Linked DNA regions of Mus musculus: regions 2, 3, 4 and 5 are each reported to be linked to region 1. The links are microRNA targets in miRTarBase. Many come from high-throughput screens and were not tested one by one. Region 1 holds a microRNA gene; each other region holds the end of a gene's coding sequence.
The links. The annotated mature microRNA mmu-miR-301b-3p reads CAGUGCAAUGGUAUUGUCAAAGC and lies in region 1 at 1,892-1,914, opposite strand. An mRNA with a match to its seed (bases 2 to 7 or 8) in the 3' UTR can be bound and repressed. Matches are read on the target gene's strand: a 7mer-m8 pairs with bases 2 to 8, a 7mer-A1 pairs with bases 2 to 7 and ends in A, and an 8mer does both.

Region 2: miRTarBase lists Enpp4 as a target of mmu-miR-301b-3p. Seed matches in the 3' UTR shown: 8mer at 300-307 and 7mer-m8 at 109-115.
Region 3: miRTarBase lists Hlf as a target of mmu-miR-301b-3p. Seed matches in the 3' UTR shown: 7mer-m8 at 1,838-1,844 and 7mer-m8 at 10-16.
Region 4: the mRNA of Cav1 is a reported target of mmu-miR-301b-3p. Seed matches in the 3' UTR shown: 7mer-m8 at 2,130-2,136.
Region 5: miRTarBase lists Psme4 as a target of mmu-miR-301b-3p. The part of its 3' UTR that is shown has no 7-base or 8-base seed match.

Annotation. Positions count from the first base shown.
Region 1 is chr16:17,122,529-17,127,101 of GRCm38, forward strand. Mir301b (microRNA 301b) reads right to left here and starts at 1,968; the gene lies at 1,872-1,968. 2610318N02Rik (RIKEN cDNA 2610318N02 gene) reads right to left here and starts at 2,674. Exons shown (of 7, transcript NM_001358255.1): 1 at 2,462-2,674. It overlaps Mir130b (microRNA 130b), which reads right to left and starts at 1,614; the gene lies at 1,533-1,614.
Region 2 is chr17:44,096,495-44,099,494 of GRCm38, forward strand. It overlaps Enpp4 (ectonucleotide pyrophosphatase/phosphodiesterase 4), which reads right to left. Exons shown (of 4, transcript NM_199016.2): 4 at 1-3,000. The coding sequence ends at 2,819. Among named protein-coding and RNA genes, the nearest start is that of Gm34917, 7.8 kb to the right of the region's middle.
Region 3 is chr11:90,338,162-90,341,161 of GRCm38, forward strand. It overlaps Hlf (hepatic leukemia factor), which reads right to left. Exons shown (of 4, transcript NM_172563.3): 4 at 1-2,813. The coding sequence ends at 2,598. Among named protein-coding and RNA genes, the nearest start is that of Hlf, 51 kb to the right of the region's middle.
Region 4 is chr6:17,339,292-17,342,291 of GRCm38, reverse strand. It overlaps Cav1 (caveolin 1, caveolae protein), which reads right to left. Exons shown (of 3, transcript NM_007616.4): 3 at 964-3,000. The coding sequence ends at 2,838. Among named protein-coding and RNA genes, the nearest start is that of Cav1, 34 kb to the right of the region's middle.
Region 5 is chr11:30,878,348-30,881,347 of GRCm38, forward strand. Psme4 (proteasome (prosome, macropain) activator subunit 4) reads left to right here. Exons shown (of 47, transcript NM_134013.3): 46 at 32-170; 47 at 1,317-2,014. The coding sequence ends at 166. It also overlaps a transcript of Erlec1 not described here. Among named protein-coding and RNA genes, the nearest start is that of Gpr75, 5.5 kb to the right of the region's middle.

The sequences.
Region 1 (4,573 bases):
ATGCACATGTAAGATATGTAAGATATGCACATGTTAGGATTCCTAGCACCTCAGGATGGATCTGCTGTGGCAACAGCTGCTGACACACGTCTACCCTAGCCACAAAGGAGTGTGGTTGCTTCTTCCCCATCAAAGCCCTCCGTCAGGCCTGAGACTCATTATGTATCAGAGCAGTCCCCATGGGTGCCAGGACTTGTGGAGCTAGAGTACTATTAAGGCTGATTTTCTCAATCTATTCCCAAAAGGGAATCTGGAAGCCTGGGCCTCCTCTCAAGGAGGCAGGCCTGACCACCTCCTACTAGGTTTTTGTTTGTTTGTAAAAGAGGGGTGGGTGCATTGAAACAGGGCTTTACCATGTAAATATAGCTCTTCTGGAACGTGCAGGGTAGACCAGGTTGTCCTTGAACTCACAGAGATCTACCTACCCATGCCTTCCCTGTGCTGCATTCAAAGGCATGGGCCATTGGGTCTTGCCGCTAAAGGTAACTCTGCAAGCACACTAAGGATCGGGCATCCTTAAAAATTCAGCTCCAGGGCTGGAGAGATGGCTCAGTGGTTAAGAGCACTGTTCTTCCAGGGGTCCTGAGTTCAAATCCCAGCAACCACATGGTGGCTCACAACCATCTGTAATGGGATCCGATGGCCTCTTCTGGTGTGTCTGAAGACAGCTACAGTGCACTCATATAAATTAAATAAATAAATAAATAAATAAATAAATAAAAATGAGCTCCAGCCCTGTCTGGAAAGCAGACATACCAGACACCTCCATGCCTCTCCTACTCAGCACATACCCTCTTTGTAAAGGAGCAAGCAGACATGGCTGGCAGGCCTACTCTGCAGGCTTCTTGTTCCAAGTCCATCCATCTGGCCCAGGCAGGACACTTCTTCTGAGCCTCAAGGTGTGAACCCAAGGTGTGGTTATCTCAGGAAAGGCTGAGTCCAGTTCTTCCCGAGGCAGTCAAGGCTAAGCAAGGTATACAAACCTTTTCCATACAAAGAGGTGAACATCTGTTTCTCTCCACAAGGTCCTGGAGTTCCTAGTTTTGTTTTGATTCTTCAGACAGCTTCAAAACTGAGACAATCTTCCTGCATCAGCCTCCAGACATGGGCTCACCAATCTTTCTTTCTTTTTTAATTGATTAATTAATTAATTAGTTAATTTGGTTTTTCTCAAAACACGGTTTCTCTGTGTATCCCTGGCTGTCCTAAAACTCACTATGTAGACCAGGATGCCCTAGATCTGGGTGATCCACCTGCCTTTGCCTTCCAAGTGCTGAGATTTAAGGCATGAGCTACCTACCATTCACTCACCGCCGCGCCCCCTGCAGCAGACTCCCCTATCTTAACCTGGGGGGAGGGGGCTAAGAGCTTGAGACTGGAGCCTTTCCAAATCTGGGGTCTCCCCTTTGTACTGGTTCCAGCCTTGGAATATGGTTCTCAGCATCCACCTTATCCTTTTAGCTAGAGATAGCTATCTCTATCTAAGACTATGATCCAAGCACTGACCCTTTTGTTCCTCAGGCTCCTTAGCTGGCCCGACAGATGCCCTTTCATCATTGCACTGCTTCCCAGAGGCCCACAGTAGTGCAACAGGGAAAGAGTGTCCAACAAGCCTGTCAGTCTCACGGGGTGGGGCGGGGCATGGGGAGTTGGGGTGGCTGGAGTGGGATCTTAGACCTAGAACGCATGCCCACCTGGGCGGAGCCTCGGCCTGAGCAAAGGATGCCCTCTGACCCCAGAGACACGGGCCTGGCTACAATCTCAAGTTTCCATGGAGAAGAGAGTAAAATGAGCAGGGGGAGGGTACGGCCTGCAGGCCTGAGGGGCCAGGCCTGGAAAGGGAAGAAAGAAGGAACAGTAGGTGAGGTGGTCTTCGAGGCTGGTCCCAGATGCTTTGACAATACCATTGCACTGCTTCTCACAGCACAGTAGTGCAACCTAGTCAGAGCACCCGCAGCCAGCAGGAAATCCATCGCCCTCGCTGCACGCAGGGCTGCGCTGGAAATTCAACCACCATGGGTGGGTGGGACATCTATCCAAGCTCGGAGAACAGACGGGATTCCAGCCCGGATGCAGTCCTCTGGACTTATTAACTTCAGGGAACTCAAACTTTCTCTAACAGGCTTCTGATTCTGGTGAGGTACTCCAAGGAGGGAGCTGAAGGGCGAGCACCCGAGGGGGCTCAAACACAAAGGAGAGAGGCCTGCGCTCAGTTGCAGAGGGGAGCACAGTGGGACTACTTGTACCCTGTTTCAGACCAGAACTAGAATAAGAGGGATACTTCACTCCTTGCACGTGAGGCCCTTGGAGTCCGAGATCCGGTCCTTGGTCCATTCCCCCAGTATGAGTTCTGCACTCTATCCTAACAGATTCTCCTGCCTAGAAGAGCAGAACTAGGGCTTCCTGGCATCTGGAGTTTCCCTGGCCTCACCGCACACCCTATCCCAGACCAGTTACTCACGTGGACAGACACCTCTTGTTCTCACCAGGGGGACAAGGTGAAGCTTAGTGGAAGATCCAGGTAGGCGGCGGCCCCGTCATATCTGGACAACCCCGCACCTCAGCACCTCGTGGCGCCCTCTCTCCCTCGGCTCCATCTTTAACCATCTGACAGTCCCGAGGGCCGAGCCCCGGGCCTCAAGGCACAGCGCCAGCCTCATTGGCTTGCGCCTACACCAAGCTTTGCCTCCTGCGCACCTATTGGCTGCTGCTGGAAAGATTTCAAAATAGCCTCCAGGCTCCGATTGGCCAGGCGCCCGAGTTTTGGCTCCACCGTTTTAACAATGAGTTCTACAAACACTTTCTCCTCATTCATAACTCTTGAAAAGGAGCTCTGTCCGCCTTTTCCCAGCTCATTTCTCTGTAGTTATTATAGTGATACTCATGAGGGCGCGTCCATGCTTACTACACAGCTCACCAAATTAGCGAGGGCTCTGAGATCCCGGCAAAGTGTCCTTTGGCCAAGCCAGCGGTTGAATGAACCCCTAGGGGATGCTTCGTATTTCGCGAGAAATTTGTTCATTGCTCCTCCAGGATGGGACATTTACTTAAAAACCGTGGCCTTCCCTCTTTCTGTCCAACTTCAGAGCATCGTCATCAGGAAACCTCTGGCTGGGCTGAGGAGGCCCTGGCACTTTTTGTAAGTGAAGAAATGCTCTGATGTCATTGATGTCATTGAGAATGTGAACCACTTTATGGGTAAGAGTTCATTAAGTGACCTTTCTGAGCTAATATGTCCAAAGATACACAGCACCTAGCACCCAGAACCTGAGGTGTTCTACTCAGTTCTGTCAGCGAAGGGAAAAACAGAGTTTTGCAGCTGGCGTCTGAGCTTTACCCCTAGTTATATCCATATGAGACAGGGAATCTTTACCCCCCAGCTCAAAGGCTGAAAGAAAATATTTTTAAAGCAGACAGAGCTGGTTTTCGATCTTCAAGAACTCATTTTGTCCACTTAATTTTAAATGTAATTTTTTGTGTATGGGTGCTTTGTTTGCCTGTCTGTACCACCATGTACATGCCTAGTGTTCAGGGAGGTCAAAAGGCTTTCTATCCTCTGCAACTGAAACTATAGAGGATTGTAAGCAAACACATGCATGCTGGAAATGAAACCCATATGCTCTGGTAGAGCAACCAATGCTATTAACACTGACCCATAATATCTCAGTCCCTACATTGTTTTGTCTTCTTTGGGAAAAAAAAGAATGCTGGTTTTTTGAGACATCGTATATCACGGCTGGCTAGTTGAGAACTCACAGAGTAGACCAGGCTAGCCTTGTGCTTATGGTAATCCTCCTAGGTTTTTGCAGTACTGGGGATACAGCCACCACACTGCATCGCTCCACACAGATACAAAATAAAACATCCAGAAATTCCAACATTTGGGAAGTGGAGAAAAGAGCCAGAAGTTCAAGACCAGCCTGAACTACATGAAATACTGTCTTTAAAGAGAGGGGGCTCACCAGAAAGAAGGCTCAGTGGTTAAGAGGGTTGGCTGCTCTTCCAGAGGACTCAGGTTCCATGCCCAGGATCCACAAGTTGTCTCAAAGGCATCTGTAACTCCAGTCCAGTATCGTCTTCTGGTCTCTAAAGCCATTGCATGCATAGACATATGGGCAGTCAAAACACCCATACACATAAAAATAAAAATCAAATGTAAAATTAAAGTGTTTTGCTGCTGCTCCTGTGCTTTTCATTTGTAATGTTTTGCATTCTGCATGGAAGCAACTTTTCTGCTCCATGAGTTTGGGGGCTGGAGAGATTGATGGCATGGCTGTCAAAATCGAGTACTACTCTTGCAGAACTGTTAAAATTGGACTTAAATGAGTTCCCCAGCCATACTAGATGGCTTACAGCCACCTGCAGTCCCAGCTCCAGGAAATCCAACACCCTCTTCTGACCTCTGAGGACACCTAACTCATGTTCATATTCACACACACACACACACACACACACACACACACACACACACACACTTTAAAATGGCATTTAAAAGTTTGGCAATAGATCAAGGCACATTAGTACACATCTTTAATCCTAGTACCTGGGAGACAAAGGCAGGTGGATCTCTATG
Region 2 (3,000 bases), not on the chromosome of region 1:
TTGTAATGTTATAAATTAAAAATGAAATGAGCCACTCTTCACAAAAAGAATTAAAGCCAACAAGCCTTAAAGCTTCCCAGGTGGGCAGAGAGGGATACATCCAAGACCAGTGCAAAGGCAGAGCCTTTAATATCCCAAGGCTTTACCTGTGGGTTCTTAAAGGAAACCTTCTGGGCAGCACTGCCAGCACGCCTTTGCCATACCCTACTGCTTTTACAGAAGAGCACACATGATAGGTGGCTAACAGGAACACACCTGGACCTCTACTAGAGAGTCAAGGTACTAAATTCTGAGCTGACTAGTGCAATTACCAACAAGTACACAGACAAACACGTTCCCATTATCTTTGGGTACTATCACCAAGAGCTAAATATTTTGGAAGCCAAATATTTTCTCCTGAACAGAAAGCAGAGCAGGTTTAGCTAACACAAACACTAAATCTCCATGTCAAAGCCTATCTTTACTAAGAAGGTTTTCTCAGAGCAAAACTACAGCCAGGGGCTTTAGTTTTTGTTTTTCAAGGATACAAACGAACTAGCAGAAAGTTCAATATGATAATATACTTGATTAAACAAATACTATTCTTGTCTCCTGAATAAGCACTTTATAACATTTTAACTAGTTTTAGTATTCTGAGAACAGAATAAAATACAAAATAAATCCATGTGCTGCAAGGACTAAGACACTGGCAGAGCATCCCTTCCCATCCCAGCCTTTATAAAAGTCTGTTCTACACATGGACACCAAGTGTAAGGTGCAGCCAGGGGAAGGAGACCGCACTGGGATTGTGCTGGGATCCGCAGCACTGTGGGAGCTAAACTGTCTTCAACTCTGCTGGAGACAAGTCCTAAGTGCCCACCTACTTCTTCTCAAAGCGAATATTGCAGTTTGTTACTTTCTTAAATGGAAATTGAAATAAGCAGAGATTTCTCTATTGTTTTACTTGATCAACCCTTCAACCTTTAGTATCTCTACTGCATGTAACAAAATAAATCAGAACACTTATGAACAAAATCATTCCTATCCTGTTCTTAAAACATCCATTCTGTGACCAAGAGCATAGATTATGTACGCAGTACAGAAATGCCTCTCAAAACCCAAATACAATGAGGCTCCAGACATCAAACTTTAAGGAAATTCACAGTGAGCCAGTTCAGCGCAATAAATCTAAGATGACTGACAAGTGTCGAGAGTCATCACGGATCATCGGTGTCTACCTGCACTGCATACTTTAGACCCATCTTGCGTCTCAAGAGCAATAATCAAGTTTGCTTTACGTTGTCAGAATGCGGGAGATCACCCCAGTACCAGGAAGCAGTGGTCTGTTGTCCAATGGACATCATGTAGGCTGTTTTGATAGCTCTGGCTCTGAGGACCCAGCTGTGGAGGGAGTGAATGATGACAGTGCTTCCCAACAACTCTCTGGTTCTCGGAGTTATGATGAGTCAGGCGAGCAAGCGAGCAGTAGCAGGGCTGGAGCTGCTCTGCCCTTAGCACGCAGCTGCTGCCAGGGCAGAAGACACTCAACTCCATTTTACATGGCTGACCACTCGACTGCACAGAAGGCACATTCAAGAGCCACAAAGGTCAAGTTCAAAACCCTGACCTTGCAGCTTTATACTCTCGTCATATTTTTTTTCCTACAGCATTGAACACTTCCAATAAACATGAGAATTGAAAATTATAACAAAAATATGGTATTTTTAATAGTGATATTAAGTTATGAGTTGGTAAAAGTATGCGCATAAAGTCTGCAAGAAGTAGCCTTTCCTTGAGCCGAACCTTCCTCGACAGCTGTGTTCTGGCACATGTCCCTTTCACATGTCACATGACCTCTGCACATTCACTCATACAAACACACTGGCACACACAACTTGCTCAGAGACGTTAAACACAAACAGAGAAGAATTTTTCTCTATGCTCTTTGAAACTTCTTATAAACAATAGTATCCAAAAATGTAACTAAAACAAACAGATGAACAAACAAAACCCCAAGGTATTGCTATGTAACCAAGCTGGACTCCATCTCAAGGCCTCTGCCTCATCTTTCCTACTTGTGTGCACCACTGTGCCCAGCCCCAGACTCAGCTTCTGAGGTGTCAACAGCTGACGGGTCTTACTAAGCTCGGGCTCTACATCACATAGTCTTCCTTGGGTTTTGATTGTTTTTAGCAGCTTTATTTAAAACAGTTTCTTTGTATGCTACAGTTATGCCCTGTGGCTAATCGGTTTTATTAACTATCACAGAATTTCCTATCTCAAGGGTTTTCTTGGGACACACACTAACTAAAGACAAATATAAAAATATATGCAACTTTTTCTCTAGGGTACACAAAATGCACAAATTACATAAATAGTTTTGTGTCATTTACAAATATATAAACTTGTTAGAAAAGCATGCCTATTAAATTCTGGTATATTTTCACTTAAAGATATATTTCATTGAAAGTAAAGAAAGAAGAAAGGAAGAATAATGGAAAGAAGGAAGGAAGGAAAGAAAGAAGGAAGGAAGGAAAGAAGGAAGAAGGACTCAAGTTTTGTTTTGTTTTTTTGTTTTGTTTTGTTTTTTCTCAAAGGCTAGTCTTGCTAGGGACATTAGTGGTTTGAACTGATTTACCAGCAATTAAATACCATCAGGGTTATTTGCATCAGGCAACACACCAAAACAGGGCACACACACACACACACACACACACACACACACACCCCAGAGTAATTTTGCCATGTGTGTCTTGTCTTTTGAAATATACCTTTTTTATGGCTGTAACACCACTCCTTGCATGGATCCTTAGTTTTGAAATTAATAAGACATGGTGAATTAATCAATTAAAGGGTCATCGTCATCTTCCTGCAGCTGAAGACGGGAGAATGGACGGGATGTGGATGCTCTGCTCCGCATGAATATCATGAGGCCTGTTAGCATGGTTAATACCAATAGTGCACTAACAACAATTCCAATGGCTTCTGGGAGATTAATGCACCACTGGTCCACCAACAAGC
Region 3 (3,000 bases), not on the chromosome of region 1:
GTGGGCCACAGTGCAACCCTTGAACACTTCTCTCCTTAAGTACTCATCTGTGCCCTGGCAAGCACTGTCATTGAACAGTTCTGCAATCCCTCTCTTTCTCTATCTTCAAAAGGACCAACTTTTTGGTGTCCCATGGCTATTACTGAATTATCTCTTATTCAGTTCTATACAACATGGTTGAAACATTTTTTTTAATCAGTAATTTGCTTGCAAAATGTATTTTATTTCTCTCACTCTCTCATCTCTCACCGTGGAATACAACAGGAACCTGGGAAGAAACCTACAGGTCTCGTTTTCCAGATCTGTGACACTGGACAGCGGAGTGGCTGAGGGAGGGGGGAGGGCATCACTGGATCCGCAGAGAAGTCAGATACTGTGGAGGCAGGAGACCGGAAAACATCCATGGATGGAAGGGGATTTTAATCGAGCACAAAAATGTGCTTTTGAAGAAACAGCAGACTCTCTTGACATTATACAACTCAGTGAAACAAAATAACAGCCATCTTTAAAGTCAAAACAGCTATCAAACTCTAAGCCGTACACATAGCACCGAGGTCAACCTTACACTGCGTGAGATAGATACACAGGCCGAAAGCGAACAAAATCATCTGGGGCTCTGGCAGCCATACTCCATTCCAACGACTCAGAATCCTGAAGTGAACATTTATGTGGCAGATGCTTTTCCTAAAAAACACTGGATCATCCAATAAATATTTGACTAAAACCCGTTTTGTGCTTTTGGGTGACGTTAACTGACTTCCTTCTGAGACCTAATAAGAAACAAGAAAGCGTTGGAGCAGGAGTCGTCACAGCAAGCCTCAGTATTGTCATAAAATTTTAATTTTAAGCAGAAAACATGCTGATGTGTCAGTAATAGGTTTAAAATATTAAAGATTTCAAAAGCCCCCAAGCACTCCTCTGAACAGCATTGGTGAATATATATCTTTGCTATATAATTTTAAAACACGGAATAGTTTTCCTTTTTTTCTCTTTTCTATATATAATATATGTCTTCCAAAATACATTGTCAGTATTTATATCTGAAAAATACTGTACAAAAAAAGAACTTCCTATAATTACTCTGTATAAACATTAAACGATTTAATAATCTCTCCTTTTGGTCTATAGTAAACATTTAAATTGATCGGAGAAACCACAGTTTGTGACAACACCATCCCATTCTGAGATACACCAGTGTCTTTTACATTCATTTTTTTTTTCAGAAGTCCACTTGATAGGCGCACATATGTTCAAAAGCAAACAGAGGATGAGAAACACGGGCTCCGGAATCATTCATTTGTGAGGCATTCAAAAGGACACCACGGGGGGTGGGGGTGGGGGTCAAGGGAGGGCTTTTCAAAACATCAACTTTTTCACTTAATTAACTGATTTCTAAAAACAGCAAAATATCGTCCCCCCCCCAAATATATATATTATAAAACAAAGTGGGTAAACTGAATCTTAAGTCAATCGTTTTGAATATCAAGAGGGAAATGGAGAAAGTGAATGGGCTAGAAAAGTGGGAATGGGCTGGGTGTGGGAAGGGGAGACGCACGACGAAGCACACCGTGGCAAAGGCTTCTCCAAGATGCATTATTATTATGTTTTTGGCATACATACTGATAAATTAACCCCTCATTCTTAGGCCTTCCCTTGCCCTCTGCTTCCCTGTCCTGAGAATATTCTGGTCATGCACAAATGCATTACTTGATTTTTGAGTTTTTTTTTTAAAAGACAGTGAAATTCCTAGGTAGGGAATTTTTTTTCCTACGTCCACTAGTTAATACTCAGGCAGCATGCTCTAGCGTACACTAGGATTATTGCTTTAGGTACAGACAGTGCAAAACACACTCTGTGTTCTATAAGGAATGGTACTTACTTATCTGGGGTTGGTGGAATTAAAAGGAAACTTAGTAGGTAGCAGTAAGTAAATATGGGACTCTACTAAATCTAAACAGCACTTTAAATTTGAAGACAAGTGTCACCAAAACTGAAAGGAAAAAACGAGAAAGGGTGGGGAGGAAAAAGGGAAGGGAAGTGGGGCAACCTATGAAGGAATTCAGCTGCGCGCAGTGCTAGGGTATGCTATGCACCTTTCCAGCATGGTAATTCATGGCTGAAACAGAAACAAGAGCTTATGGTCTTGATCACTGAGATCCAGGGCCCTGCTTCCTGAAGCAACACAGACCCTGGCCAAGTGAGATCGCTAGAACACAGAGCAAGGCAGAAAGGGGCAGGAAGGGAGAAGGAAGGGGAGGAAACCCCATGGGAGTCTCCAGGGTGGAATAAAAAACATGGCACCTTTCTTGTTTGGAACTAAAAGACAACAAGAGGACTATCTTTAAACGACAAGTGTGAAGGAATACACACATATACACGCTCACACATGCACACCGCTGACCACACATGGGACCATAAGCACATATACACACACACAAACATACATACATACGCATAGATGCACACCAAAATATGAGTCAGTTGCGTTTATGCCTCTGGTAAAGTGCTGATGTCAGAAAGGTTGGTTTGGGTGTGGGGCTACCAGACAGGAAACAAGCTGTCCATCTATTCAAAAGCCAGCCCACAAAAATGCCATCTTACAGGGGCCCGTGCCTGGCCTCGTACTTGGCAAGTATGTTCTTGCATTTGCCCAGCTCCTTCCTTAAATCAGCCACCTCCTGGCGGAGGGCCGAGTTCTCCTTCTCCAGGAATGAGGCCCGGATTGCGATCTGGTTCTCCTTCAGCCGCCGGGCATCACGGGAGCGCTTGGCCGCCATGTTGTTCTTTCTGCGCCTCGCCCAGTACTTGTCATCCTGCTCATTAGTTACAGAAGGAAAAAGAAACAAGATATTAGGTTTCAGCAGCACTGGGTGGCAGCCAGGGGTGTGCTGAGATACCAGCCTGGGTTTCTTCATTTCTGTCTCCTTCCTTTTCAGCTTCTACATGTCTGAGGGTATGATCTGCCAGCCATGGCTTTGGTCCTAGAGAAAGGACCAACCT
Region 4 (3,000 bases), not on the chromosome of region 1:
GGTCAACCATTATGTCATGGTTCCTTCAAGAGTGGTTTCAATGGCATTGCTATTTCAATTGCTAGACTGCATAAAGCAAGTTGCCCTCTTTCACATGGGTAGACCTCATTCAATCAGTTGAAGATCTGAATAGAACAAGAAATTGGCCTTCACTTGAGTCAGACAGAGGTCCTCCTGCTTGGCATATCATTTTCCTCCCATCATTTTCATTGGAAAACCAGATAGTAGTTTTTCTGGAGTCTTGAGCTCACAGGCCCCTGAGTGGGATCCCCAGCATCCTGGTTCACCTTCTAGAAATTGCCAGTATCCCAAAATGAAGCCAAGTTATTTTTGATAAATCTTTTCTTCTTTGTTTTTATCTTAGTTTCTTTCTTCCTTCCTCCCTCCCTCCTCCCCCCCCCCTCTCTCTCTTTCTTTCTCTCTTTCTTGGTTTTTCAAGACAGGGTTTCTCTGTACAGCCCTGGCTATCCTGGAACTCACTTTGAAGACCAGGCTGGCCTCGAACTCAGAAATCTGCCTGCCTCTGCCTCCCAAGTGCTGGTATTAAAGGCGTGCACCACCACACTCGTCCTTAGTTTCTTTCTTAATCTCCATCTTTATCATTCCTGTCCCTGTCCTGTGGATTTGTATCTTTAGAACACTTTAATACAGAATTCCAAATGTAAATTTAGGTGGAACTAGATGACAATATTAATATCCATGACATATGGTTACTGGAACTCAGATTAGTAGATAATAAATCATTGCATAAATTACTAAAATGGCTTTAAATTAGTTATAAATTACAACTAAACTATTTGAAGTAATCCATGAATAGCAATGACTTTTAGCAGAAAAATCCCACTTAAATTAATTTTTAATATTTGAGAAGTTTGCTACCCCCAAACATTATACAAACATACAAATATGCATTGTATACTTGCTTACTACATACATACAGACAGACACACATACAAACAAAACTGCGTAACTGTTAAACAATTTTATTGTGCAGATTTGAAATCTTTATAGGACATGCAGCATAAAAAAGTGTAAAATATATCAGTAAGCATATAAAATTTCAGTAACCTTTTGGATCAGCAATTGACTTGTATAAAACTGAGTATCTAGGGAGAACAGACATGTCTTGGAACACACAGTTTACAGACTGAATTGTAGAATCATTTCCCAAGTGATTCTCCTTATATAAAGATAAAGAATATCTCTACATGTAAAAAGGTATACAGTCTAGTACACTTTCAGTTATGTGCACAGTTTAAAATTCAAACTGTGGCCATGCCAGTGTCTGTTTTAAATGCAAACAATCAAAGTAGGTAGCAGGTTGGTAAAGTGTCGGCAAGACTGAAGGAGAAAACAAGTCAAGCAGGGTTCCAATACATGTATGAAAGTGAAAATGAAAGCCTATCTGGAATTTTAAAAATATCCCCAAGGGCAGAGCTGTAATGTGAGCTGGGAAGTAAAAGGCTTTTGGGTGTCCCAGGCAGGCAGCTTTCTGGAGACTCAGGTACACAGGTGAAATTCCTCAGTTTGGGTTCAGAAAAACTTGAATTTATTACAGCAAGAACATTACCTCAAGCTTTTGTTACCACCCTTCCCCCACCTTTCTGAACAAAATGATGGTTGGATTAGGTCAAAGGTTCCTTGCAGGGGGAAAGGTCGAGCTTCACAGCATTGCAGACTATTGCAAGGGCTTTGCATAAAAGGGGTCATGTTTACAACAGGCTTGGCAGTCTCGGTTTAGCAGCCTCCTTTTTGACACCCCTCCCTGGAGGTTCACTCATCAGCTGAAAAGGAAGTACAATGTTGAGCTCCTAAATCATCCCAGTCAGTCACTAAACCTTGATCCTGGTGAGGGGCTGGCTTAGAGTCAGGAACCTGTGATTATTCTTGAAAATGAGTGAAACTGAATAGACACGCTGGCCTCATTCAGTTGCTGAGTGGCAGGGAAAGCTGGCTTCTACTTCTGCCAGTCCAGAGAGGTCTCACCCCCATTTGTCTGCTTCAAATCATTTCATTGGGTTAATGTTGACCAGGCTTAACAGAGAGAAAGATGCTACATAGCTGAGCACAGATATCAACATCAACAGGTTCTGTATTTCAGAGTCAGAAACAAGTACAGAGAACTAGCAAGTGCAATTTGTATGTTTTGTTTTTAGGAAAGCTGCCGGCATCATGCAAGTAGATGAGTTAGATCCTATTTGGAAAAAAAAAAAACATGAAAAATTAGAAGGCACGTAGGTCTTATTCTCAGTATAGCAAATATTCAGGCATACAAAATAACAGGTTAAAATGCCAGGATAAGTAAAACATTGTTGGTATCATGAAGATTATAGTCTCCAAATTGATGGTGATCCCTAAATCCCTAAATCTAACTGGATTGTTAAGAGTGAGGACAGCAACCAATTCCTTAGATAACTGGCATATATTAAAAACGTTCCTTCATGCCCCTAAACAAATGGCCGTAACCTGAATCTCTTCCCTTTGTATGACATCATCACCTTTGAGTAGGCAGTTGAGGTTGTTGGTACTCTTCCCTGCCTCCCAGTCCTTCCTATTTTTCTCAAATCATCTTTCAACAATATGTTTATATTTTAGCCAATGAAACAATGATTCACATATAAAAGAGAGAGCAGGAATGGGTTTAAACATTCCAGACTGTCAAACATAGATGCAGTAGCTTAGAAGAGACAAGTAGTATATATGAGAATGGTGGGAATGAATTCTTTGTTCTTGATCAAGACAAACCATTCATAAATTTGCTGCTGCGAGAGCAACTTGGAATTGGCACCAAGGAAATAGTAAGGGGGGAAAAAAACCTTTCATCCTTGAAATGTCCCTCATATCTCTTTCTGCGTGCTGATGCGGATGTTGCTGAATATCTTGCCAATAGCTTCAAAGAGTGGATCGCAGAAGGTATGGACGTAGATGGAGTAGACGCGGCTGATGCACTGAATCTCAATCAGGAAGCTCTTGATGCACGGTACAACCGCCCAGATGTGC
Region 5 (3,000 bases), not on the chromosome of region 1:
AGAGGTTAAAATGTATATGGGTCAATTACAGATGACTGTAAAGAAGACCTTATCCAATTTCCGAAGGACACATCATGACAACTGGCAAGAACACAAGCAGCAGTTCACTGATGACCAGCTGCTTGTCCTCACTGACCTCCTTGTGTCACCATGCTATTATGCATAGAGGGGTGAGTTACATGGGTCTTTCCCAGCATGTGTCGTCCTACCAGTAGCCAAGGAAATACCTACAAGATTTTAAGGTTTGCTAACATTTTAGATGTAACTGCTTAGATAAAGTGAAGAGAGTTCTTTGTTTTGACTTTTGGAGACAGGGACAGCTATGTAGACCAGGCTAGCCGTGCATTTGAGATTCCCCTACCATAGTCTCATGAACACTAGGATTGCAGCTATGTGTCACCACACTTGAATGCTTTTAAACATGACTTTTGAGGTAGGGGGTAGATAGTTTAGAGGAAGAGCCCAAATTTAGCAAAGATGAGACCCTAATTCGATTTCCAGTGCTGAGGTAAACAAACATGGTAGCCTGTGCCTGTACCCTCAGAGGATTTTGTTGGGTTGATTGTAAATACAGCTTTGTCTGTGGTCAGTGGAAATAACTATTATAGAATTTTTCTTGATTTTTGTTTCCATTGTTAGGGAGGCAATTTATGTGACTGTATTGGGACAGTTAGAAAATAAGTAACTTGCATCAGTAGCCTGGGATAGTCAGGTGAAAGAAAAGAAGTTGGGGTTGTACTAGGAACTCTGGTTTCTACAATCATGAGAACACTTCATCTGGATGTTTTTAAATGTGTATGAATCTTCGACTTGTATTTGTGTATATTCACATGAGCATGCCGTCCGTGCCTTTGGCGGCCAGAAGAGGGAACTGAGTTATAGATAGTTGTAAGCCTCCCTGTGGCTGCTGGGAACAGATACATATGCTCTTAACTGCTAAGCCATCTCTCTGTCTCATCATCTGGATTCTTTTGTTCATTTGTTTATTTGGTTTTTGTTTTGTTAATTTTCAGATAGAGTTTTTATCTCTATGTAGCCCTGGGTAGCCTAGAAATCACTATGTTGAACAGGTGGCCTCAGAGCTCTTTCTGCCTCCACCCCTCCCCTTTCTCAAATGCTAGTATTAAAGGCATTCCCTACCATGCACAACTCATCTAAATTCCTAAGTGCTTATTACATTTCTGTAAAAACAGAGGGCCAGAAAGTCTTTGTATAGACAAAGGTAAGGAGAATAAACACAATCTGTTTGGTGGGATTTTAGAACTGAGTGTTTTGATAATCTGACATAATTTTTTGTTTTATTTTTCTTAATGCAGATGACTAGTCCTCATTCTGGGCTCATTTCATCAAAAACTCCAGATCCTCAGGTATCATCCGTGGTGACTCTGCAAGTTTCACAACTCAGCTTCTCTTGAGCTTTCATCATTTTGGTGGCTTCTCTGTTTGGCCTCATTAGTCTTCGCTCACAGGTTCTCAGCTGCCATTTGATTTCCTAACTTGTTCTGAAGTGTTCCCTGAGTACTGATCACTTTTTCTTTTGAGACATATGACAAAGTCACAAAGTCTCAGACTAGAAGTAGCCTAGTACTATCATGGTATTATGACCAAACAGTCTCGAACGTTGTTAAAAACAACAATGTCCTCGGAATGGAGAATGCTCATCAATTATGTAGGTTCTCTCATTTCATTCATCTCACGTTATTTTGAGTTCTTCCCCAAAGGCTGTTGAGTTTAGCATTAGTAGGGCCATGGGTCATGAATCTGAAGTTTTGACCGCCTTGTGTCTAGAGAGCCATGAAGAGAAAAGGATCAAAGGGGGCAAAGTCTCAGAGTTAACCTAGAACCTGACACGCTCAACCACACTGCAGATGTCTGTATCTCCACAGACTGGAGTTTTTGGTGCTGAGTAAGAGCCAATTGCTGAAAAACTGGGGGTTTGGTGAATAAATTTTAGACTGATTTGTATGTGTATACAATGTGTGATTTTAAAAATAAAAAAGAACATCAATAAACACCATGGCTGATTGTTTTTTACCCTGTAGTCCATACAAATATTGTTTTACACCCCACCTTGAAATACATTACACTTCAAATGAGTGGAAGATTGCAGTTTTTGATCTCTCTCCCTCTTCTTCTCCCTTTCTGTCTCCCTCTCCCCCCCCTTTTTCACTCTCTTTCCCTCTCCCCCTCTCTCCCCTCTACCTGTATGCCTGCCTACAGAATCACTAATATTAATAAGTCTTGATATTTGACTTGTTTAGTATGTTATGTAGATGTAAAAGATTGTACAATAAACTGTAGAGATAACACTGACAAGATTTTGTACAGATGCAACCCTTAACGCAGACCATTGTGTGACTTGTTTTTTTGGTGTATGTTTTTAAGTTATATTCTTTATCTTCTCGTGTTACAAAAGCTGAAACATAGGTTTTAGGTTTTTTTAAATTTATTTACTAGAATATCTGGATTTTTATGTACCTTTTTTGTGTGCATTTTTAAATGATAACATGTTTGCCTATCACAACTTTATAGAGTGCAAGTTATCTTCTAGTTGGAATAATTCACAAGTTGATAAATGTCATCTTTTAACACACTCTTTACAATCTTCCTTAAAGGAATACTACAGTCATTTTTTAGTATCTCTATGCCGAGTGTCTCAATATACACATACAGTAGTGGGCTTGTTACAGTACTGAAGTGTCGCCATACCCAGGCATAATCCCCGTACAGAATAGTACCTAATGAATAGTCAATTCAACTGTGTAACTAGTTTTAAAAACCGAATAAAATGGACTGTTTTTAATACCTGACTTTTATCTGAAGAGAAGACAGTTCAGTTGGGAGCAACTTTTGTGGGTTCTTTTTGCCTTCTTAGATTTAGATCTGTGACTTTCTTCCCACTTAGAATGAATTGTGGCCAGAATGAATGATCTAATTCTGCTCTGTTGAGTGCAGTAGCCAGGCTCACTAGGTGTGCTTTAAGTGGTAATTAGCCATGTA